Linked DNA regions of Nothobranchius furzeri. The protein of the gene in region 1 binds, or shares a complex with, the protein of each later gene. Links are inferred from orthologs where the notes say so. Each region holds a gene or a part of one and is shown in the gene's direction. Other genes may lie near its edges.

The links.
Region 2: med12 (region 1) and med24 share a complex: the UniProt entries of both Homo sapiens proteins name them as parts of the mediator complex. The link is inferred for Nothobranchius furzeri from reciprocal best matches to the Homo sapiens genes MED12 and MED24.
Region 3: the proteins of med12 (region 1) and mediator of RNA polymerase II transcription subunit 13-like are in contact, whole or in part, in a cryo-EM structure (PDB 8TQC), measured with the Homo sapiens proteins. The link is inferred for Nothobranchius furzeri from reciprocal best matches to the Homo sapiens genes MED12 and MED13. Residues at the interface, in NP_005111.2 of Homo sapiens: Ala3, Phe4, Arg12, Pro13, Arg16, Leu86, Thr123, Thr127, Thr150, Pro152, Val153, Met154, Arg155, Phe242, Pro278, Leu281, Arg282, Arg356, Pro357, Phe360, Gly361, Cys364, Gln367, Thr368, Cys372, Pro407, Glu408, Phe413, Val417, Lys1526; in NP_005112.2 of Homo sapiens: Ser157, Glu158, Thr336, Val337, Pro339, Gln340, Ser341, Gln343, Lys344, Trp345, Lys347, Phe348, Asp1186, Ile1189, Leu1190, Gln1193, Asp1194, Pro1332, Ile1333, Thr1335, Leu1337, Tyr1340, Asp1341, Tyr1342, Asp1343, Tyr1344, Leu1345, Val1346, Leu1347, Ser1348.
Region 4: med12 (region 1) and med1 share a complex: the UniProt entries of both Homo sapiens proteins name them as parts of the mediator complex. The link is inferred for Nothobranchius furzeri from reciprocal best matches to the Homo sapiens genes MED12 and MED1.
Region 5: med12 (region 1) and med19a share a complex: the UniProt entries of both Homo sapiens proteins name them as parts of the mediator complex. The link is inferred for Nothobranchius furzeri from reciprocal best matches to the Homo sapiens genes MED12 and MED19.
Region 6: the proteins of med12 (region 1) and cdk8 are in contact, whole or in part, in a cryo-EM structure (PDB 8TQ2), measured with the Homo sapiens proteins. The link is inferred for Nothobranchius furzeri from reciprocal best matches to the Homo sapiens genes MED12 and CDK8. Residues at the interface, in NP_005111.2 of Homo sapiens: Pro26, Gln27, Gln31, Glu33, Asp34, Leu36, Asn40, Val41, Lys42, Gln43, Gly44, Phe45, Asn47; in NP_001251.1 of Homo sapiens: His143, Ala144, Trp146, Phe180, Asn181, Ser182, Pro183, Pro186, Ala208, Arg209, His210, Thr212, Lys213, Met273, Pro274, Pro320.

What each region holds. Positions count from the first base shown.
Region 1 is NC_091741.1:82,323,136-82,326,821, forward strand, and holds part of med12 (mediator of RNA polymerase II transcription subunit 12), read left to right. Parts: intron 1-28; coding exon 29-100; intron 101-192; coding exon 193-356; intron 357-451; coding exon 452-613; intron 614-685; coding exon 686-887; intron 888-1,076; coding exon 1,077-1,186; intron 1,187-1,268; coding exon 1,269-1,404; intron 1,405-3,041; coding exon 3,042-3,191; intron 3,192-3,476; coding exon 3,477-3,686. UniProt on the Homo sapiens protein: Component of the Mediator complex, a coactivator involved in the regulated transcription of nearly all RNA polymerase II-dependent genes.
Region 2 is NC_091756.1:31,526,190-31,530,359, reverse strand, and holds the start of med24 (mediator of RNA polymerase II transcription subunit 24), read left to right. Parts: upstream 1-1,235; 5' UTR 1,236-1,242; coding exon 1,243-1,256; intron 1,257-1,367; coding exon 1,368-1,498; intron 1,499-1,580; coding exon 1,581-1,663; intron 1,664-1,744; coding exon 1,745-1,783; intron 1,784-1,865; coding exon 1,866-1,939; intron 1,940-2,044; coding exon 2,045-2,268; intron 2,269-2,465; coding exon 2,466-2,577; intron 2,578-2,656; coding exon 2,657-2,807; intron 2,808-4,170. UniProt on the Homo sapiens protein: Component of the Mediator complex, a coactivator involved in the regulated transcription of nearly all RNA polymerase II-dependent genes.
Region 3 is NC_091753.1:50,252,309-50,256,780, reverse strand, and holds the start of mediator of RNA polymerase II transcription subunit 13-like, read left to right. Parts: upstream 1-1,588; 5' UTR 1,589-1,818; coding exon 1,819-1,884; intron 1,885-3,618; coding exon 3,619-3,853; intron 3,854-4,472. Other genes in the region: c18h3orf33 (protein C3orf33 homolog), read right to left, coding at 102-161, 438-581. UniProt on the Homo sapiens protein: Component of the Mediator complex, a coactivator involved in the regulated transcription of nearly all RNA polymerase II-dependent genes.
Region 4 is NC_091756.1:39,210,731-39,214,416, reverse strand, and holds part of med1 (mediator of RNA polymerase II transcription subunit 1), read left to right. Parts: intron 1-2,859; coding exon 2,860-2,987; intron 2,988-3,195; coding exon 3,196-3,397; intron 3,398-3,494; coding exon 3,495-3,590; intron 3,591-3,686. UniProt on the Homo sapiens protein: Component of the Mediator complex, a coactivator involved in the regulated transcription of nearly all RNA polymerase II-dependent genes.
Region 5 is NC_091741.1:91,561,769-91,565,101, forward strand, and holds part of med19a (mediator of RNA polymerase II transcription subunit 19-A), read left to right. Parts: intron 1-1,265; coding exon 1,266-1,399; intron 1,400-1,482; coding exon 1,483-1,579; intron 1,580-1,660; coding exon 1,661-1,755; intron 1,756-3,333. UniProt on the Homo sapiens protein: Component of the Mediator complex, a coactivator involved in the regulated transcription of nearly all RNA polymerase II-dependent genes.
Region 6 is NC_091747.1:51,014,465-51,017,941, forward strand, and holds the end of cdk8 (cyclin-dependent kinase 8), read left to right. Parts: intron 1-22; coding exon 23-154; intron 155-242; coding exon 243-386; intron 387-873; coding exon 874-943; intron 944-1,063; coding exon 1,064-1,136; intron 1,137-1,228; coding exon 1,229-1,326; intron 1,327-1,422; coding exon 1,423-1,501; intron 1,502-2,164; coding exon 2,165-2,323; intron 2,324-2,471; coding exon 2,472-2,597; 3' UTR 2,598-2,816; downstream 2,817-3,477.

The sequences.
Region 1 (3,686 bases):
ATCATTTTTCACTTTCTCTCTGTGGCAGAATATGGACCAGTGGACGATGAGGCAGTCGTCTCTGGAGCTGCAGCTGATGATCAAACAGAGCACAAACAATGTGAGTCTAACTCCTTCCTGTTGTCCCAGTAACAGAAAATGGTGAATTTATAGTTGTTACTGGCGACATAAATGTGTTTATTTTATATTTAGGAGCTCTACTCTCTCCTGGAGAACATAGCTAAAGCCACTATAGAGGTTTTCCAGAAATCAGCTGAGATGAACTCCAGTAACCCCTCAGGAAATGGAGCGGCAGCCCAGGCTGGCTCTGCATCCAATAGCAACAGCACCACGAGCAAGATGAAACCTATTTTAAGGTGCGGATTTCAACTCTGCACTGATAATGGGATCTGTCTTTAATCTACATTTTGGGTTGAATGAAGCTAAGATCTTTGTTTTCACTGATATCCAGCTCCTCAGAGCGATCAGGCGTCTGGCTGGTGGCCCCATTGATAGCCAAGCTGCCCACATCGGTCCAGGGCCATGTCCTGAAAGCAGCCGGAGAGGAACTGGAAAAGGGACAGCACCTCGGCTCCTCCTCTCGCAAAGAGAGGGACAGGCAGAAACAGAAAAGGTACGTGGCAGCTGAGTCTTTTCCCTGGAATCTTGGTAGTTTTGGAACAATCGTGTGTTTCTGCTCCCGCAGTATGTCTCTGCTGAGCCAGCAGCCGTTCCTGTCTTTGGTGCTGACCTGCTTGAAGGGCCAGGATGAACAGAGGGAAGGCCTTCTTACCTCCCTCTACAGTCAAGTGCAGCAGATTGTCACAAACTGGAGAGAAGATCAGTACCAGGATGACTGCAAGGCCAAGCAAATGATGCACGAGGCTCTGAAACTACGTCTGAATCTTGTGAGCGTCTTTCAAAAGCATAGATAGCTGTATAACACAACATCTTAACAAGATTTTGTTTATTCTGATTCAAAATAATTGCACAAGTTTCTAGTTTCATGTGCACCTTATCACACAGAACCGACTTTGGTCTGGATTTGAGTTCTTAGAATAAAAGATTTCATGAAGCGTTTTTGTTTTCTTGCTAAGGTTGGAGGCATGTTTGATACGGTGCAGCGGAGCACCCAGCAGACCACTGAATGGGCAGTTCTTCTCCTCGACATCATCAGCAGCGGCACGGTGGATATGCAGTCCAACAAGTGAGTGTTGCCTACAGGGAGTTTCCAAAGTCACTGTCAGTAATGTGCCTGTCTGGTGCTCATCTCCGTCTCTTTTCTGCAGTGAGCTGTTCACAACGGTGTTGGACATGTTAAGTGTGCTAATAAATGGCACGCTGGCTGCTGACATGTCCAGCATCTCCCAGGGCAGCATGGAGGAGAACAAGAGAGCTTACATGAACCTGGTGAAGAAGCTCAGGGTAGGACCTGTGTGTGTGTGTGTGTGTGTGTGTGTGTGTGGGGGGGGGGGGGGGGCTGAAAGAGTGTGCAAGTGTGTAGTTGAGCTACGGCAATAATCAAGGGGCTTTTATTCTAGTTTCAGACCTGCCAACCTGTACACACTTTGCTTGGCAGTTATGCAGTTTGGCATCTAATTACCTTGGTATGACTCACCCCTCTAAACTACGCAAAAAGCTGTGGACACGTGAGTTCTGTAGCAAAAAAGCATGTGTGGTACACGACTCAGCACATGGTGAAGAAGTTTAGGCCAGTCATTGTAGAAAAGCAGAAAAAAACAATTCTGCCTAACCTATAGCGTAACCCTCCCCCCGTCTTCATCCTGTGTCCTGCCCGCTGCCTCTCTCCATCCTCCAGTTCCCACTTGCTGCTGTCCTGGGGTTTAAAAAGGTCAAGTGTGTGTCCCTCGGCATTCTTCAAATATCCAAGAAATGCCCGTACTTCTGACTTTTTCTTCTTTGAAGGATAATAAATGTCCCAAGTGCTGCCATCTCCTTTGGCCATTATTTCAGCTTTAGCTTCAAGAAAGTTTTGGTTGTAAACAACAAAGTGCGCATGTGCCGCCGGCTACTTCAGCAGATGATACGGTGGCTGGTAAGGGTCACCGCGCCTACACCACAGCCACGGTAATCCACCGAGATTTTTTTTTTTTTAAAACAAGACGGTTATTATTATTGTCAACTTTTTTACCGGGGTTTACTGCTACACCCGTTACCGTGACAACCCTAGCCCTGACACACTTTCAGATATTCTCATGGTGCAGCTGTGTTCTCCAGAGATCAAGGACTAGGACCCAAATGAGGCTGTAATGCTTTGGCACAAAGACGGTGTCAGAAGCAGGAGGCCAGACTTCATGGACAGAGAAAACAAGGAGTCTGACTAGATTTCAATGAAAGAGTTCATAAAAACATCTCTAAAAATAAATAAATAGTAAAAATGACAAAAGAGTTGTTTTTCTTATTAATTGATGTTTTAATTATTTTGTCACTCTGTCTGGAATCAACATAATATAGAGTAACATGCTTTAGGTAGATCTAAATCATTTAGAATTTTGGTCGGTAAAAAATATGCCGCTTGGCCGGTGAGTAAAAAATTTAATTTCGTACCCTGTGTGTGTGTGTTTGTGTGTGTAAGTGAGTGAGTGAGTTGAAACCCGTTTCTCCAACCACTCTGCAGCGTTCAATCGGCAATATACAAAATAAATCATTACTATTAAAGACATTAACATTTTTTTTATTAATTTTTATTAAGTATCTAAATAATTCAGTGCAATTAAGCTGTTAAGCTGTCAGCTTGTATGAGCATATATTATATAAGGAAAGCAAGAGCAACTTTTGAGTTTTACTGCGTAATATTAGAATGCGTGGTAATTCGGACTATTCAAGAATATGTTTCCAGACAGTAAAATAGCCAAACAATATGGCTGCTGATGATCTAATGACTTTGGGCTCTAGGCCTTTTGCTGCTTCACCTGTTTGTCCCAGAATTAGGGGACGCTCCAGCTCGAAGGGTTAAAAGTGGTTCTGACTAAGGTAAAATCTTTGACATTTGAGGTTGTACGATTTTGTAATTGTTGCTCCGTTTGTTCTTACTCGTACAGAAGGAGCTTGGAGATCGACAGTCAGAAAGTTTGGAGAAGGTTCGCCAGCTTCTGCCGCTACCGAAACAAACCCGTGATGTCATCACCTGTGAACCCCAAGGCTCACTAATAGACACAAAGGGCAACAAGATCGCCGGCTTTGAGAAGGAGGTAGACACACTTTACTCCTCGTTCAACATGACGATCGACAATGGCTTTGGGTTAGGTTCTTATGAATGCTAGAACTTGGAGATTTGGTGGTTCTGAGACAAATAGAGGACAGTGCAAAGACATTGTTTTTGTCATAATGATCAAAAGCAACTGTTAGGCTAATCATCACTGCTTCTACAGCTTCATTTGTTTTTGAAACACTGGTCATTTAAATTTTCTAATGTTCAATATTTCAGGTCTTTTAGGCTTTTGTTATTGATTAAAATGTGTAATTTGGTTCATCAGGGCCTTCAAGTATCAACCAAACAGAAGATTTCTCCTTGGGATGTGTTTGAGGGTCTGAAACACTCAGCCCCTCTCTCCTGGGGCTGGTTTGGAACTGTACGTGTGGACCGGAAGATCACTAAATTTGAGGAGCAGCAGCGTTTCCTGCTCTACCACACCCACCTGAAGCCCAAACCTCGCAGCTATTACCTGGAGCCTCTCCCTCTGCCC
Region 2 (4,170 bases), on another chromosome or scaffold:
TTTATATTACCTATTAATATTTTAATTGAATTTAATAAGAACAAAACCCCTTTTTAATCAGTTTAAATGACTTTCTCTGACTCGCTGGTAGAAATAAATTTTGCTCATCTGGTAAACAGCGACATGTAGTGTTCAACATTATCTCATGCTTGCGACGCAATTTTTGAGCACTAGCTCCAACCAATCACCAGAGAGAATACTCCTACGTTTGAAATATTGACCAATGAGCGCTTACGTAGTTGCAACAACGATTCCATCGCTTACGTTGTGAGAGTCTGGTTTTCAAACCTACAGCCCTGCATGCTGTGGAAAAGTCAGGTAATTCTTACATTGGGAAAAAATCAGTGCGACTAGAAATGTTCCCATTGACGGTGACATAGGTGTGTTTAATAGCTGTTGAGTTTTTTTGTTTGTTTCAAACAGCTGATGGATCGCGTCGCTATCTAACGGCTAACATGCTAATAAACACGCTTCAGCGACATTGAACGAATGGTTCAAACTATTAGTATTCTATTATTAGTATGGAATATATCAGTGAAATGCGGCGAGACTTCCTCGTTTGCTTTTATTTTGCTTGCAATGAGCCACGTTTCGATGTCGTTTTTTCATACTAGTGGACTTATTCAGGCTTTAGCTTCTCTTTAACCTTACCTGGCTGCTTTATAACTAATAATGTACTATCCGTTTACAGAAAAATGTTCTTTGTTAATAAGATACTTAACAAGATAGATAGATAGATAGATAGATAGATAGATAGATAGATAGATAGAGTAGCAGACAGGGAAGTACAAAAGTATAAGAATAGGCAGAAGTAATATAAACTATTGGTGCTTTACTATACTAGAGTAACATGTTTCATGGTTGTATATTTGTAGTTATAAACAGATATGCGTTTGTGGAAAATTAATCTACAATAAAAACATCTGTTGCACAGCGATGGTATGCATGTTGTCTTGAAGCCATATTTACTATGGCAGAGATGGCCAAATGAGCAGCCGATTAGTCTCTGTAGGGCAGTGGTTTCTAATCCAATAGCAATCACTGCGTGGTTTTAATCAGTGAGGTACTTCTGCAGAGCTTGTTGACATGCTGATCATGTAATTCAAGCTTTGAATTGGAAGTGTTGGAGCAGACAAACAGTGAGGACCGCAGTGAGGCGTCCTGAAGAGAGATGGGTTGTCTGTGGTGGGGAGCAGTTTGTGCAGAGACGACCTGTCTCTCATGCCCTAGGACCAGATTTCCATGGTTTTCCTTAGGTGCTTGAAACGACTTGAATTTTTTTTCCCATAAAATACCTAAAACCTTAGCTGAAATTGGGGATTTGGAGTTTTGTGCATGACAAATGTGTGTGTGTTCACTCTTGCTAGGATGAAGGTGGTGAATTTGAAACAAGCCATTTTGCAGGCGTGGAAGGAACGATGGAGTGATCACCAGTGGGCCATCAACATTAAAAAAAACTTCCCAAAGGGCCAAACATGGGACTACCTTAATTTTGCTGGTTTGTGACGCCTATTTGTTGATAATCTGTTAATTTAATAAACACTTCCTCTATGATTTGAAATGTTTTCTGTGTATTTTAGAGGCACTGATGGAGCAGGCGATGATCGGTCCCTCTCCCAACCCGCTGATTCTGTCTTACCTTAGATATGCTATAAGCTCACAGGTAGAGAGAAGAACCATGGTTATGATCAAACATGCAGCTGAACAGATTATCTAATGGTGCACCTCATTCTCCCTGTCTCAGATGGTGTCCTATTCCAGCGTACTAACAGCCATCAGCAAGGTACTTTTTGGAATATAAACACAATGGTGTAGTAATCACTTGAAGAACTACAACTTTAACATAAATATCTCCATTTAAACAGTTTGATGGCTTTTCTCGGGAGCTGTGTGTCATGTCATTGTTGGAGATAATGGACATGTTCTGCCATCGTCTCAAGTATGTTCAATCTTTTCTAACTCAACAGATTGTGTCAATGGGTCATCATTCTACCACTAAAAAAATGTATAAACTAAAACAATTTCTTGTCTGTGTGTGTCTCAGCTGTCACGGAAAAGCAGAGGACTGCATCGGGCTGTGCCGGGCCCTGCTGGGGGTGCTCGTGTGGCTGCTGCAGGGCTGTGCGTTTTACTGCGAGAAGTTAAGAGAGCTGGGCCCGTCTCCCAGCATCGAGGCCGCTCTCAAAGCCTGCCAGGAGAGGCTCCACCACCTGATGAGCAGCACTAAGATCAGAGCTCTGGTCCACATTGCCCGACTGGAGGACCAAGGTGCCTGAAAATAGCTTTTTCAAACCATTTATTTAAAAATATTGTTTTGAGAAGCTGAAAGGTGTTCCTTGTGGATACAATGGTGTTTAAAATCCTCAAATCTCTCTCGGAACATATTTGTTTTGAAGCAAATGGCAGACCACAGGATGTTGCGCTTACTTCATGCACCTTTAAAGTGTCTGTGTCTATGTCCTCAGGTTCCTGGGGTAACGCTGAACAAGCAGTGCTCAAGGTGTCTGACGGCCTTGTTAACGTGCCAAACCAAACACTCAGAGCTAAACTAGAGGAAAGCTTGTCTCTAGTTAAAAGGTCAGCCTTCCTCTGCCCGACTTAGAAGGGCCATCACAATCCAGCTTGTTTATGCTGCATCTCTGCTCTTCTCCCTCAGCATCCCGCTGATGCTCTCGGTACAAAGTGACCCGCCAGTCCGTGCCTCTTTCCCATCAGTTCATGCTTTCATCATGCTGGAGGGGACCATGAATCTAACGGGGGAGATCCAGCCCATGGTGGAGCAGCTAATGATGATCAAAAGAATGCAGGTAAACATTAAAGTGGGGGGAAACAATCACATTGCACCTTTTTTATTTTTTGTAGAAAGATGAACCTTGTAATGTTTTTAGTTGGAACAATTTTAAGTAAGAATGTGTTTTCATTTCATTTGCATTTAAAGGGATACTATGCAACTTTTTTCATAATTTTAAATCATTTTCTCAAGCTATTATGTGCCAAAATGACCCTTTGCAGGGTTAATGAAAGGCCACCCAGCCCCTCTCACCACCGTGGCCAGAATATTCCACTTGCAACTTCAGACTGGCGGGCCACTCTAAGTTAAGCTGATTTACCTGACGCAGTAGTCTGCTTCTAGCACGTTTCCTTCATGTTTTAGATCACGAACACAGCTAATTTGTTTAATTTAGTGATGAATCACTCCTGTATAAGGAAGGCTGAGGAGACATTTCAGCTGTTAGATTAAGGTGTTAAAACACATGTGTCAGACACAAGGCTGGCCTGCGGAGCATTTCTATGTGGCCCGCGAGATAAATATCAAAAATATATTAAAACTGACCCGCTGGCCGATTTTACTGTAAAGACTACAACTCCCATGATGGTTTGCGGCGTTAGCGCGGAGCCAAAGCGCCCCCTCCTTTGTGTTTTTTCCAGCATCTACTGCCGGTGTCTGCAGCTCCGCTGTCTCGGACAAACTAAACGCTCCTCTCACTCAGCGCCAAGTTCACTCAGCTGTTTTCTGACGTTGAAGCCCAGAAACGGAGATTTTAACCGCTCTGTAATGTGTGAACGACTATAAGAGAAAGATTTCCAACTAACTTTCAGACAGAGCTGATTTTACTCCAGCGAGCAGCGACGAGCTCAAATCAGCATGACTCTGTGGCTGCTGTCGTTTTTATTTTTCCTCCCCAACACACAACGACGTGGTCAAGCTGCTCAGACATGTTCAGCAGCACAAACCTATGTGAGCACCTGTTGTCATATAATGTTGTCATTATTATGATGAAGATGAACAAAACAACAGGAGTCTCCTCCTCAGCTCAGATCAACCCCATGATGCAGGGATCTGGCTGGAACAGGTGAGCATCACAGTAAACCAGTGGAACAAACTGAGCTTTAAATATGTTGGTTTTATGCTCTTTTTCTGCTCCAAAACATGAAAGTTAACAGGTGAGATGTTGCATTTTCATTTAAGATAAAATGATATTTTTATTTTGTTGTCGGCCCGTGAGAAAAGATTTAACCTACAGTAAACAGGAAGTGGAAAGGCTGCAGATAGATGAATAGAATAGAAAATCCCTTTATTGTTCCTGAGTGGGGAAAGCTAGATGTCACAGCAGCGATGACGCGTATTACAGGAGAAAAAAAGGAGAATAAAAAATAAGAAAAATGAAT
Region 3 (4,472 bases), on another chromosome or scaffold:
AAAAGATAAAAAGGTCTTTTAGATTTGGATTTGTCATGTTTATTTTTATGTCATCAGTTAACGGAGTGTGTTTGAGTATCACTTGGGCTTTTCTTCCCTACCAGTTTGATGCTCCTCGCGATCACTATCACACCAGCGAGAGCCAGTCCAGTGCTAATGTTCTGTGTGAGACAGGAGATAGAGAGGGAGAGGAAGGTGACAGGGTGAGAGTGAAATCTTACACTCAGCTGTGGATGTGCTTCCACCCAGCAATGACAGTAACACAAGCGCACTAAAGGCTACTGTTGACAGCTGGCGATGGGATATCTGGCCGGTGTGGTGATTCACCAGACATCGTGTGTTGCAAAAGAGCAGCTTAAAAGACATGTCCCCACATGTGCAGGTTTCAGCTCGTGAGACCACATACGTCATCGATCCTAGACAAAAGAGGCTCCTACCCGCACGAGCGACAAATTCTCGTCTGCGAATTGAGAAACTACGGACACGACGTTACGTGACGGCTGGTTCTGGTTTTCTTCCCGTCTCCGTCGCCTGTCACTCACAACCTCCTCTGTTTCTGTTTCTCGGGTGGGCTCCGGCATGTTGTTGACATTTTCTCGACTAGTCTGACGCTCCGCCTTTTTGGGGGAGGGACGTTTAAAACGGGACTGTAAGCAGAAGCTCCGCCCCTCAACGTAGAAGCGAAAGCAGCATCAAGTTTACATAAAAAAAAAAAACCAAAGAACATCATGTGCAGTCGACTTTGGTTTAAAACGTAAAGGTTTGTGAACGTTAAAAGCTCGGCTAGTTAGCTAACTTGCTAAGGATGCTAGTGCTAGCAGCAACCACTCAGATTGCCCACAGATTATTTAACATCTGCACATTAATCCCCAATTACACATTAGAGTGCTGATATCTTTGTTTTAAAAGTGCAAAAGCTAAATTGCCGCCTTATAAACTTGACATATTATATAAAAATGGTAACGTCTAGCACTGGCAGCAGAGTGAGACATGTTAAGTAAAGAGTTACCACTGTATGACAGATGCACTGAGGCTCTCATCTTGTAAACTGTGAAGTCATGGAGCTTCTTGAAGCCGGATAACGCCCCCATCAACACAAATTGGCCAATGGGAGCTGAGAGGCAGAGTTGTCCTCCTGGCCGCCATTAAAGAATTCAATCCATGTAGTGAAATAATGGAAATCTGCAGGACACCCATGGATCCAGGCAGAGACGATTAGCCGATGAGTAGTGTCGGAGATTTGGCATTTATTCTGTTTGACGAACAGTTTTATCATGACGGAGCTCCGTTGAGGTTTTAGAAGGAATGAGGGCGGTGTAGCTGATTGTTTTATTTAGCTGGCAGGCTAGCTGAGATCAGGGGGAGGGGAGAGTTCCTCTGCTTTGAAATTGTTTCAGATCAGCTAGCTGACGTTAGCATTAGCACACCAGGGACCAAGCTTTTGTGATGAAGTTTTTTTAGTTTCCGAGCTCGTTCTTTCAAATTTCTGGGGTTTGTTTTAACTTTAGTCTGTTCTGGTTAGGTTAACGTTAATTGTTTGATATTTATGTGATGTGGCCGCAGCTCTGCGGCTAACCAGATCAGACAATACATTTCAAATAGGATTGATGAATCGACTAGCTAGAAGCCTACAGTTGACGCTATCTGGCTGTCTGTCTAATGTTAGCTTAGCCGCCAGGCTAGTAGCTAGCGCCGGTTAGAAGTTGGCTGACTTAATTACAAGTGAACGTCGCTTCGCTTGCGAGTTACACCTATCAGCTATTGCCCCAAAGGTGGTTGAGACAATGGACTTGAACGTTACCACCGCGCAGTGAAAGGATGAGTTCGTGCTTTGTACCAAACGGAGCCAGTTTGGAGGATTGCCACTCCAACATCTTCTGCCTGGTAAGCCTAGCTAGCGCTAGTTGTGTTGCTGAAAGGCCAGAAAGCCATTTTGGCTCAGAAGGCAACAAGCTTTGTAACGTCAGTTTCAGATTGGCGAGAAGGCATCGGGCCTTCAAGTCTCAAATTGTCATCCTGCTTGTTTTAATAACACACAAAACACATGTTGTTTGGCTACTTTATAAAAAATGACGTGTTTGCGATTGTGCTTTTGGCCCATGTTTACACTGCAGTTGAAGAGGGATAATCAGTGTTAGCAACATGTTTATAACGGGTTGGGAATTGTTTGAAACACAGCCGATTGTTCTAAATTGTGTTGGATATGTTTTTAAATGATCTATAAACAGAATAACAGGGTTTTCTTTGCAGTCTGAAAAAGTATAAAATTGTTTTTATTTTGTATTTTCCGTTACATGTATGGAAATAAGAGCAGTGTGTGGAACGCATTTGCGTTACCAGACTTTCGTTTCCTACTATTTTATTACTCAAAAATGTAAAAATCAGATTCTAAAGAAGTGAACATACAAGCTTTTCAAAACAATGTAGCTAAGTTATGGAGTTATTTAACATGAAAAATGAAGACAAACCTTAGCGATCATGATATTATTTATTGACTAATCATGAAATGCACGTAAAATTAACGTGTAATATAATAACATCTATATTACTAGTGGGATGGACATCTGTTGGTTTTCCATGGTTATATCTTGAGTTTTCCATGCTGAGTGTTATTCTGTTTGTTAGTTGGATCATTTGACCTTTATAGAAACGTGTTAAAATAACTGTCAGAATACCAGGTGCACATTAACTAGCCTATTTCACAATTATTTAGTGGATATTTACAGTAAAATTCAGGAAATGTTCTAGAATCAGCTGCAGTCTGGAAATTAACCTCTGGAAAAGTCTGGAATGAAGTCAGCTGCCTTGGCAACTTAAAATGAAATGTGTTTACAAGTTTATGCTTACTTTTTTTTTGCAGTGAAACATTCAGTGTTGTCTACATGTTTTAGAACAAAATGAATGAAAACACAGAATGTTTTTTTCCTAGAAGGTGGCTTTGCTCTGAAATGATCTTGAAATAGAAAGTTTGATCAGTTACTGTGTAAAATACTTCAATTAATCAGCTTTTGAAGTTCTTCTCTGTTATTAATTTTTGCATCAGGTATGTTTGTGCATTCTATTTTCTAAAAAACAAAAGCTTAAATATCTAAATGTAAATGTTTTTCAAGTTTTTTTAACATGTTGATTGTATGGAAAAGAGGGACAAATAAGTTGGTTCATCCACCACATAAAGCTTCATTTTTAATTTGTTGATAGAAACCCCCCGTGCATTGATGCTAATACAAGTGCTGAGGGTCAGACGTGTCTCAGATGAAAGACACCTGCAGCTCAGGCCTTTTCCTCTTCATCTGTTGACACGTTTGTGGACAAGTTGAACCTCATGTCACTTCCAGTGATGCCACCTTGCATTGCAGTGTTGTGCAGCACTTTGTGAGCCTTGCTAAGTTTATTCATAATACAACTAGGCAGTCACAAGTTGGCCCAGTCCGTAACTATACACCGCGTGCAACAATGTCAACCATCCTCTTGTTATTATCTTTATTATGTAAAGTGCTTTACTATAAGACAGAAAAAGCAGCCTTCAGCTTTCTAAAACACATACGCATAGCCATGGATTTGCCTTTGTGTTTTAAATTTTTATTCACACTTTGTTTTTTTATATTTTCTTCCCTTTAGGCTGATTTGACTGGAATAAAATGGCGACGTTTTGTGTGGCAAGGTCCCACCTCTTCGCCCATCCTCTTCCCGGTGACCGAGGAGGACCCGATCTTGTGTAGCTTCAGCCGATGCCTGGCAGCAGATGTGCTAAGTGTGTGGAGAAGGCACCACACCCCGGGTCGCAGGGAGCTTTGGCTTTTCTGGTGGGGGGATGACCCCAGTTTTGCAGAGCTTATCCACAATGAGCTTTCGAGTAAGTGAATGCATCATTTGCATGTTTTCTGCCGGGTTTGAGATTCGCACAATATCCCGTTTAACTCTCACCAACTTTGATGTTCATTGATCCAAATGGAAATATTGTGACGTTTACTTGAGGGGTGGGTGGTATGATCACAGAAATAAATTAAGATTGGTTAGTTTGTTCTTTTTTTAGAATTATGGTCAAACTGTAATTTTGATTACATTTTCTCTTTTATATGCATAAAATAAAGAGAAAACAAGCAGCTTTAGTTTGGAGCAATGTAGATTAGTCCTGATCTGACAGAGGAGCTAACAGCTAGTTCAAATTAGGTCAGTCACAAAGATTTTTTAAAGTCCCAAAAAAATCTTAGATTATGCAGCATTTTACATTGTTTTTAGAGTTCATGATTATTCTGACGGATATAACCAAGAATTGCAAACAAAAGTTCTATAGTAGCTAGTTCTGCAGCTAATTTCTGCCGTAAATAACCCAGAAACGTCTCACTTGTGGTGATTCTAGTCTGAAAATCTCCAACAGCAGAAATTTATGGTGGCATAAAAGCTAATAAAATAACATTCCGTTTGAACTGCTGTGGAATTTTGTTAGGTTTAACAAAACTCCAGATAACTGA
Region 4 (3,686 bases), on another chromosome or scaffold:
CCTACAGATGGTCATGTGTGACAATCCCAGAAGATCAGCAGTTTCTGAAATACTCAGACCAGCCTGTCTGCACCAACAACCATGCCACGTTCAAAGTCACTTAAATCACCTTTTTTCCCCATTCTGAAGCTCGGTTTGAACTGCAGCGGATCGTCTTTACCTTGTCTACATGCCTAAATGCATTGAGTTGCCACCATGTGATTGGCTGATTAGTCATTTGCGTTAACGAGCAGTTGGACAGGTGTACCCAATAAAGTGCTTGGTGAGTGTACAGGTCCTTCTCAAAAAATTAGCATATTGTGATGAAGTTCATTATTTTCTGTAATGTATTGATAAACATTACAAATAAATAAACAAACATTAGACTTTCATATATATTAGATTCATTACACACAACTGAAGTAGTTCAAGCCTTTTATTGTTTCTAATATTGATGATTTTGGCATACAGCTCATGAAAACCCAAAATTCCTATCCCAAAAAATTAGCAAATCATGAAAAGGTTCTCTAAACGAGCTATTAACCTAATCATCTGAATCAACTAATTAACTCTAACAGGGTTTTTCCTGGCTCAAATTGAGGCAGAAGTGGTACCATCCTGACCATGCGCCAGCACATGCATACTCTGTGCATTCAACTGCTTCACTTTTTTTAAAGGCCAAATATTTTTTGTTAAGTGTTCTAATCTAAGCTTCTGTTGATGAATTGAATATTCTATTTGACGTTTCAAGTGAAACAAAACTGGTTTGCTGCAAAAAAAAATATGAAATAAAACAACAAAATTATCAGGCTGAAATAACAGACTCATTATAAAAGGTTCAATAATATGTATTAGGTTGGTGTAGTTCCCTTTTTCCCATCTGATATTTATAGTCAAAAATATTTTTAAATATTTGACCTACATTTCAGTAACATTTTAGGTTTGTATTAATAACAGTCATTATAGTCAAAATAACACAAATATATCCAGTAAAATATAATGCATTTCATTAACATGCATTTGTATTGGAAATGGTAATAACATTTAATTTCTGCTAACAATGTAATGGTGGCATGTCTATTATGTACGGGTTGGCAATAATCCAGTTTAAATTATGCTCATTTAAAATAGACAAACACGCACAGACAGTTTATTTCGTCGCACTGTACAGCCCTGCTCTGATATGGAAGAGCCTGGGGGAAATCGGGATGTCAGTAGCACCAACCATAGATATGTACCAAGAAGCGAGAAAAGCAATTTTTGATCTTTTTCTGGAGCGGCTTTAGCGCTTTTTGGTGCACCGCTGCTGATACAGCGCCCCTGTAGTGGCGCAACGCTGCAACTGCAGTTAAAATAACATCCATATAGCTGGGGGCAGAGTGAAATCAGGCTGGAGCGGCACAAAATTAGCTGGAGGCGGCCGCCACGCCAATTTGAACGCAGGAAAAACCCTGTCTAAACACCTGCAAAAGATTCCTGAGGCTTTTAAAAACTCCCAGCCTGGTTCATTACTCAAAACCGCAATCATGGGTAAGACTGCCGACCTGACTGCTGTCCAGAAGGCCATCATTGACACCCTCAAGCAAGAGGATAAGACACAGAAAGAAAATTCTGAACGAATAGGCTGTTCCCAGAGTGCTGTATCAAGGCACCTCAGTGGGAAGGAAAAGGTGTGGCAGAAAACGCTGCACAACAAGAAGAGGTGACCAGACCCTGAGGAAGATTGTGGAGAAGGACCGATTTCAGTCCTTGGGGAACCTGCACAAGCAGTGGACTGAGTCCGGAGTAGAAACATCCAGAGCCACTGTGTACAGGCGTGTGCAGGAAATGGGCTACAGGTGCCGCATTCCCCAGGTCAAGCCATTTTTGAACCAGAAACAGCAGCAGAAGCGCCTGACCTGGGCTACAGAGAAGCAGCACTGGACTGTTGCTCAGTGGTCCAAAGTATTTTTTTCGGATTAAAGCAAATTTTGCTTGTCATTCGGAAATCAAGGTGCCAGAGTCTGGAGGAAGACTGGGCAGAGGGAAATGCCAAAATGCCTGAAGTCCAGTGTCAAGTACCCACAGTCAGTGATGGTCTGGAGTGCCATGTCAGCTGCTGGTGTTGGTCCACTGTGTTTTATCAAGGGCAGGGTCAATGCAGCTAGCTATCAGGAGATTTTGGAGCACTTCATGCTTCCATCTGCTGAAAAGCTTTATGGAGATGAAGATTTAATTTTTCAGCACGACCTGGCACCTGCTCACAGTGCCAAAACCACTGGTAAATGGTTTACTGACCATGGTATTACTGTGCTCAATTGGCCTGCCAACTCTCCTGACCTGAACCCCACAGAGAATCTGTGGGATGTTGTGAAGAGAAAGTTGAGAGACGCAAGTCCCAACACTCTGGATGAGCTTAAGGCCGCTATCGAAGCATCCTGGGCCTCCATAACACCTCAGCAGTGCCACAGGCTGATGGCCTCCATGCCACGCCGCATTGAAGCAGTCATTTCTTCTAAAGGATTCCCGTCCAAGAATTGCGTGCATAACTGAACATAATTATTAGAAGGTTGACTTTTTTGATATTAAAAACATTTTTCTTTTATTGGTCGGATGAAATATTCAAATTTTTTTGAGATAGGAATTTTGGGTTTTCATGAGCTGTATGTCAAAATCATCAATATTAGAAACAATAAAAGGCTTGATCTACTTCAGTTGTGTGTAATGAATCTAATATATATGAAAGTCTAATGTTTATCAGTACATTACAGACAATAATGCTAATATGCAAATTTTTTGAGAAGGACCTGTATATACACTGTATTTGCAATGAAAGGATTATCCTTACCTTGTATGTGTTTCTTACACCTCTTCTACCCCCCCCCCCCCCCCCCCCCCCAGCAATCCCAGTATTTGAGACGTCACCCAGCCTCTCACCGCTCTACCAGCTGATCGTCCAGAGTCAGCTGCAGCTGCTGGACGAGAGCAGCTCTGTGCCAGCAACACTGAATAACATGCACTTTTATTCTGTGAGCTGATACCAACACATTCCAATACATTTATATTTTTAAGCTCCTAAATAATTATATGTATGTGTGTATATATATATATATATAATTTAAATATATAAGAATGATCTGTCAGATCTGCTCTTTGTTTGCATTTCATGCTTACAAAATAGCTCAAAACGTGTAAAAATTGTGTTTAAAATAACTTCTACATATAATCATTTTACAGATCTTGCCAGATCAGCATCACTGTTACTTCCTGAATGGCGATGCCCCAGTTCAGGATGGACATTCATTACAAGGAGCAATGGTGTCCAAGATCCCTTTTCGTCATCCAGCTCAAGTGCCATTCCTGCTGGACATCATTCGCCACCAGGCAGCATATAACACTCTGATTGGCAGCTGCGTCAAACGAACCTCTGCCAAAGAGGGTAAAAGTGTCATGTCCACACTACTACACCAGAAACTTGTGGTTTCTCTGTCTGTGTAGTTTAACTGCATTAAACACTGTTGTTGCTTCCTCCTCAGACAGTGCAGGCCTTCTTCAGTTCGAGGTTTGTCCTCTCACCGACTCAAGTTTCAGTGTCTCCTTCCAGCACCCGGTCAATGAGTCGTTAGTCTGTGGTGAGCAGATATTTTAATGAAATACTTTTTTTATGAAAACATTTTTTTTGGTTTTCATTTAAAAAATGCATTTTGATGAATTAAAGTATGACATGA
Region 5 (3,333 bases), about 9.2 Mb from region 1:
TTACTGTGGACTTCAGAAAACACAATGGACCAACACCAGGAGAGGACATGGAGCCCAAATCATTAGATATCAACACCACACCTGGACTTGAGGCTTACTCTGCAACTTTTTCATATTTTTACATCGTTTTCTTTAGCCAGTATGTACTAAAATGACCCTTAGGGTGAAAAAAATGTCACTCAGACCCCCACCGCCCCCTGTGGCCAGAATATCACACTTGCAACTTGTCCGGTCCCTGATGGACTTAGTAAAGTGGAACTGACATGCTTCTTTAGCAATGACTTTCTATGGTTTCCCTTCCTTGTGGTAAAAAAGTTATCCGTGCATCCCTAATTTACATAATAGGTCAGATGAATTTTTTTAAACAAGTGACAAAATACTATACTTTTTCAGGATTTTCTACCTGTATTTGTCATCGTTTAAGCCAGGGGTGTCAAACTGAAATTCACTCTGGGCCAAACTGGAGAAACTAGAACAAAGTCATGGGAAAATGTTTATGGATGCAAATGCTTAAAATTTTCTTTATCTTCTGATTTGTGTTGTTGAATGTTTTATATGGAAACAAACCATAGTCTTGCATTAATAGTTACTCTGGAATAACCAAAGTTTAAAATTAACAACACACGGGCAGTTAACTTTGAAATAAAACACATCAGATGGAAACTGAGCAGAAGCCACAGAGTCAAATTTGAGCGTTTTACTACACCGGAGCTCATTTGGCTCCATTTGGAGGTTGCTTTCTGCGCTTTTCACGTCGGCCACAAATAGATTACTGAGCTGTTGAAATCTTGATATTTGGGCTTCAAAGTTGGCAAATTGCTGGGTGCTAACTAAGCAGTCATTTTTTTGTTTGTCTGAGACCGAATCTGTGGTCTCCAGGTCCGCAGCCGTACCCTCCTCGAGACTGGTAGCATGGATGCTGCTGATAATGCAGCAAAGCATTCTGGGATCTGTAGTATTGGCAACATATGCACTGGCAGGTCAGTTCTCGAGGGCCAGGGTTTGACTCCAGTGGCTTAAGCTATAGTTAATCTAAACCTGCATTCTGACAGGTGCTGGGACTTCTGGGCGCTCTAATGAATTAGACTTTGAGGGCTGAGGCTGTATCTCTAAAACCAAAAGTTTAACTTTCATTGTTTCTGATTTGTTGTTTTTTTTTAGCCTCTTTAATCTCACCTGGACTCCTCACTATGGCCTGTAAATTACACGGATCCCTTTCAGCCACGCTCTTTATTTCCACTTTTATAGTGTCTCTTTTGTTGCAGGTATGATCGACTGTCCGGGCACTCAGGACGGCAGCTCTCTGCGCTCTCTGATAGATAAGCCTCCCGTTTGTGGGAACTCGTTCAGCCCGCTGACTGGTGCTCTGCTCACAGGATTCAGACTACATACAGGACCGGTACCACAACACTGATTATGCCTGATAATAAATGATCATCTTATCCCCGTTATGTAACATGTAGTGTTTTTTTTTTTTTCCAGCTTCCAGAACAGTACAGACTGATGCACATACAGCCCCCAAAGAAGAAGAGCAAACACAAACACAAGCACAATCGACCACAGGACCCCCTCCCACAAGGTCTGGTGGCGTGTTAGTGAGGTCAGCTGAAACAAGTGCTACGTGTTTTTCACCACACTGACACGTCTGTTCTGATTTTAGAAACTCCGTCAGACTCTGATCCCAAGAAAAAGAAGAAAAAGAGGGACGATGATCCTGACCGCAAGAAAAAGAAGAAAGACAAGAAAAAAAAGAAGGTGAGAAAATTTTAAACACTAATTAAGTTTCTAGCTGGGCATTAAAAAGATTTAAAATGTTGACTCGGAATAGCATTGTGACATAAGTCGCACAGCAGTTTTGTTTTTTCATCCAGTTCTCAGTATTAATGAGTACACCCCCTTTGAAGAGTACAAATTTAATCAGTAGCTCAATGAACTAAAAAAATTTTCCAGAATTTTAACAAGGCTGGGTTTTATTAAACACTTGCTTAACTCCATAACATGAAATTAAGGCTATTAATATGACTTGGATCACAAAATCTTCAGTTTTGCTAAAATTGGTTTTAGCAAAAAGGAATACACCCCTCAACAAAAACTACTACATCAAGTCTTCTAGGCATGGCATGAACAAGATGGTGACATATTGCAACATCGGGCTGCATGGTGGCACAGTTGTTGCACTGTCGCTATTTCTGCGTGGAGTTGCGTGTTCTCCCCATGCATGCTCGGGTTTCCTCCGGGTACTCCGGTTTCCCCCACAGATCACAACATGCCCTATAGGTTATAAATTGTAAGTCGCTTTGGATAAAAGCGTCTGCTAAATAAATAAACATAAACATTAACATCTATCTTTTTCCATTCTTCAAGAATAACGTGTTTTATAATCTGGATGCTGGATGGAGAGTGATGCTCAACCTTCAGAATTCCCCACAGGTGTTCAGATCAGGAGACATACTTGGCCATTCAATCACCTTCACCCTGTTCTTCTTCAGAAATGCAACAGTAGCTTTAGATGCGTTTTGGATCATTGTCGTGGTGGAAACGTGCACAATGATTCAAATTCAATTCAATTCAAAGATACTTTATTAATACCAGAGGGAAATTGATTGCTGTAGTAGCTCAGAATAATAATAATAATCAAGTCATCAAAGAGTTATTGTATATTACAATGGCTGTTGGCAGGAAGGATCTCCAGTAGCGGTCAGTGTTGCAGCCAAACTGAAGAAGCCTCTGACTGAAGACACTCTTCCGTTGTCGGACAGTCTTGTGAAGAGAATGCTCAGGGTTGTCCATCATTTTCTTGATTCTCTGGAGAATCCTTCTTTGCATTATCCCCTCCAATGATCAAGTGCATGGAGTGATGGCTGCATCTTCTCCTTCAGTATAGAACAGGACATCGTTGAGTTCATGATGCCATCAATGAAATGCAGCTCCCCAACACCAGCAGCACTCATGCAGCCCCACATAAGGACACTGCCACCACCACCACGTTTCACTGTAGGCACCATGCATTTCTCTTTGAAATCCTCACCTTTACAACGCCATAGTTTTGAAACCATTACTTCCACAAACTGTGATCTTTGTCTCATCACTCCAGAGTACAGAGTGCCAGTAGTCTTCATCTCTTTCAGCACGGGCCCTAGCAAATCCTAGGTGTGCTTTTTGTGCATGAGCTTTAGGAGAGGCTTCCTTCGTAGACAATACCCATGTATGCCATTCCTCTGCAGTGTGCGTTGTATGGTGTCATGGGAAACGGTCACTCCAGTTTGGCTTTCTACTGCTTTAACTAACTGCAGTGAACTTTAATGGTGATTTTCTTCAGTCTTCAGAAGACGC
Region 6 (3,477 bases), on another chromosome or scaffold:
AACACACGTTGTTGTTTTGTAGCGGATATGGGGTTTGCTCGTCTCTTCAATTCACCACTGAAGCCTTTAGCTGATCTCGACCCCGTCGTGGTCACGTTCTGGTACAGAGCACCTGAGCTGCTGCTGGGGGCTCGGCACTACACCAAAGCCATCGGTGAAACCCTTTTCCACTTCTGCTCTGCACGTGTTTTTTATTGGTGTGGCTTTGACTTATGTCAGCACGTGCTGTGCGTTTCTCCCAGACATCTGGGCGATTGGCTGTATTTTTGCAGAGCTGCTAACGTCTGAGCCCATATTCCATTGTCGTCAGGAGGACATCAAGACCAGCAACCCATACCACCACGACCAGCTGGACCGAATCTTTAATGTTATGGGCTTCCCTGCTGGTGAGACTGTTAATGTGTTGGTGTTACACAAGATTTTTCCAGCTACGATGTTCTGGAAGGAAATGTGATGAAACGCATTATTTTCTCGGTCTTTACTTGCTCTGTTTTTGAATGTATTAATGTGGTCTGTAGACGCCGGACATCAAACCACAGACTTTATACAAGTCACAAACCTAGAGATGGTTGCTTGCAGGCCTACATTTGGACCGATACTTTCCAGTTCACAAAATCTGCTTCACTTTTCCTTTTTTCTTTTCTCGTCTCTGCCGCTCTATTTATTTAATTCACCAGTCAGTTAGAAGGATCACTTTGGTTTCTGCAGAAATTTTGGGCAAATTTGCAGAGTTTAAGTACAAAACCAAAGCTAATTGGTGTAAAAATGAAAGAAATGTTGTTTAATTGTAAGTTGCTGTGGAAAAATAATTTTTTAATTTCTTTAAAGATAAATGATCCTTCGTCCTAACCCTTTGTTGCCTTGGTCTAACAGATAAAGACTGGGAAGACATCAAAAAGATGCCAGAGCACTCCACACTGATGAAAGATTTCAGAAGGAACACGTGAGTCTGCAGACCACTTGTGTCCTGTTTTTTATTTGTTTTAAGATCAAAACAAAGCAAAGTATATCTTAATACACAAAAATTACACACACTTCATAGTTTGCTCCTGTTTTTATACAGATACACAAACTGCAGCCTTATAAAGTACATGGAAAAACATAAAGTTAAACCAGACAGTAAAGCATTCCACTTGGTGAGTTGAAGCGCTTTTGATTTAGTCTTTCTCTGCCTGATATATCTGGTACGGCTTTTTGTTTGACATTAAAATCACGTTATTGATTGCAGCTGCAAAAACTATTGACCATGGACCCCATCCGTAGAATCACATCGGAGCAGGCAATGCAGGACCCGTACTTTTTAGAAGAGCCTCTTCCCACGTCTGAGTGAGCTGCAGCAGATTTAGTTCTGGCTTTTAGCGCGGCTAACGTGCCGGAGGAGACTCCTGAACAGGTTGATGAGGTGTTTTTGCATTCTTCTAGTGTGTTTGCAGGTTGTCAGATTCCCTACCCCAAGAGAGAGTTCTTGACAGAGGAGGAGCCAGAGGACAAAGGAGACAAAGTAAAATTTACTTTACAAACTTATTTTATGAATGCATTTGAATCAAAAAGCAGTGGTGTACGTAGATAATCCTCATGGGCGGGCAGTATAAATTTGGGGTGGCACCAAATTGGTCCCTGTGGCTGTCGATTGCTTCTTTGTTATCTTTCATTTAGAACTAAAGGCCTATGCGTCCGTCATATTTACCTCAGAGTTGAGGAACACAAACATTTAAGAGGTTCATAGTTTTTTTCCGCTTTTGTTTTAAATTTTGCTGTTTTATAATTTTAAGTTTAAAATTTGCCTGTTGTCGTTTGAACAAAACCTTTTTGAACATATTTTTGAAAAAATATAGTGAGCCTCAATGGGATACGTAGTATATAAGCTGTGATAATTTTTTTTTAGTAGAATACATTTATTTGTTAGTGTAAAAATGTATGTCCTAATTAAAAAAAGATGAATGTACAATTTGTGTGAACATGATTGTGATTTATTAGGGAAGGTGGGGGGGTGGTCTTCCCTGGTGGGGGGCAGTGGGGTGGCCACCAATTTACCAGGGTGTGGCCATGGCCCCCCATCCCTGGCCACCCCTTGGAGCACCCCTGTCAAAGCAAAAATGAGAAACTAAAATGTTGTAGTACATGTACAGTATTGTTTAGATTGTTTTGTTGTTGGGTGTTTTAGAAGAACCAGCAGCAGCAACAGGGAAACAACCACACAAACGGGGCGGGGCACACTGGCAACCCAGAAAATAGCCACACCCAGGGCCCACCTGCAAAGAAGGTGCGGGTTGTCCCTCCCACCACTACCTCAGGTGGCCTCATTATGACCTCAGACTACCAGGTGAGCTTTTCTGCTGCTCATCTGGACACACAAACAGAACAGCTTGTGTCCTAAATGCTAAATAAAGAAACTAATTGCTGATGAAAACAGAAGAAATTTGAAGTTTTTACTGACAAAGCTTTTTTTGTTGTTGTTGTTGTTCATGCAGCGCTCTAATCCACATGCTGCCTACCAGAATCCTGGACCAAGCACATCACTGCCCCAAAGCAGCATGGGATACTCCTCTACCTCCCAACAACCACCCCAGTACTCCCACCAGTCCCACCGCTACTGAAACACCCCTCCCACAAATAAACACACACATTTCTAATCTGAACACACACTCACACAGCCATTTCTGTGACCGCCTGAACGAATGTACTGAAGGATGTGGGGATGGTGCAACACCCCACACCCTACCTTCTGAAGGCACTCTGCTGTGATCTGGTAGTTCAGAGAGACAAAACAACTCCACCAGTGTCAGACAACACAATCCCAGTACAGCGTAAAGCAAATCCTCATGGGTGAAAGGCAGATCAAGAGGATAAAAATAAAATATTCCATTAATCAGGCAAAATACAGACGAGCCATCTCCTTTCCTCTGCTTCAGTTCCCCTCGTCCCGTCAAAACTTGGATGAGACGAAAGCTGCTACGTGACTGCCCACGTTAACAGATTCTCAGTCCTCCTATTTGTTTTGTTTTTTTGTGTGTAAGGGGCCTCCGCTGAGGACTGAACTGCGGCAAAGCAGGCTGGGAGATTTTTGATCTCACAGCTGTGGGATGGAGGCTTTTTTTGTTCAGAAAGGACAGAGTAAGGATTTTAGTAGTTTCTAATTTAATCTATTGTCATGATTTTGTTTTCATGACAAGCGTAACACAGCAGAGTGTGTGAGTTGCTGTGTACTGTGAGTAAGCCTTACAACATGACGACAAAACCAACTAATCGTATGGAGGATGGCAGATGGAACATGCATTGTACTGTATTGCATTTAAATATTTTACATGAAACAAGTATCCTGACAATAAAAGTGGAAACATCAATTTTGGACCAATTTCAGTGCATTTTGTCATTCATCATTTCTTTTACTCTGTTATTGTTTTACAATAAGACATATTTTACAGTATAATACACATTTTTATATAAAACGTGTCAATAAGTACATGTATTGAAAAA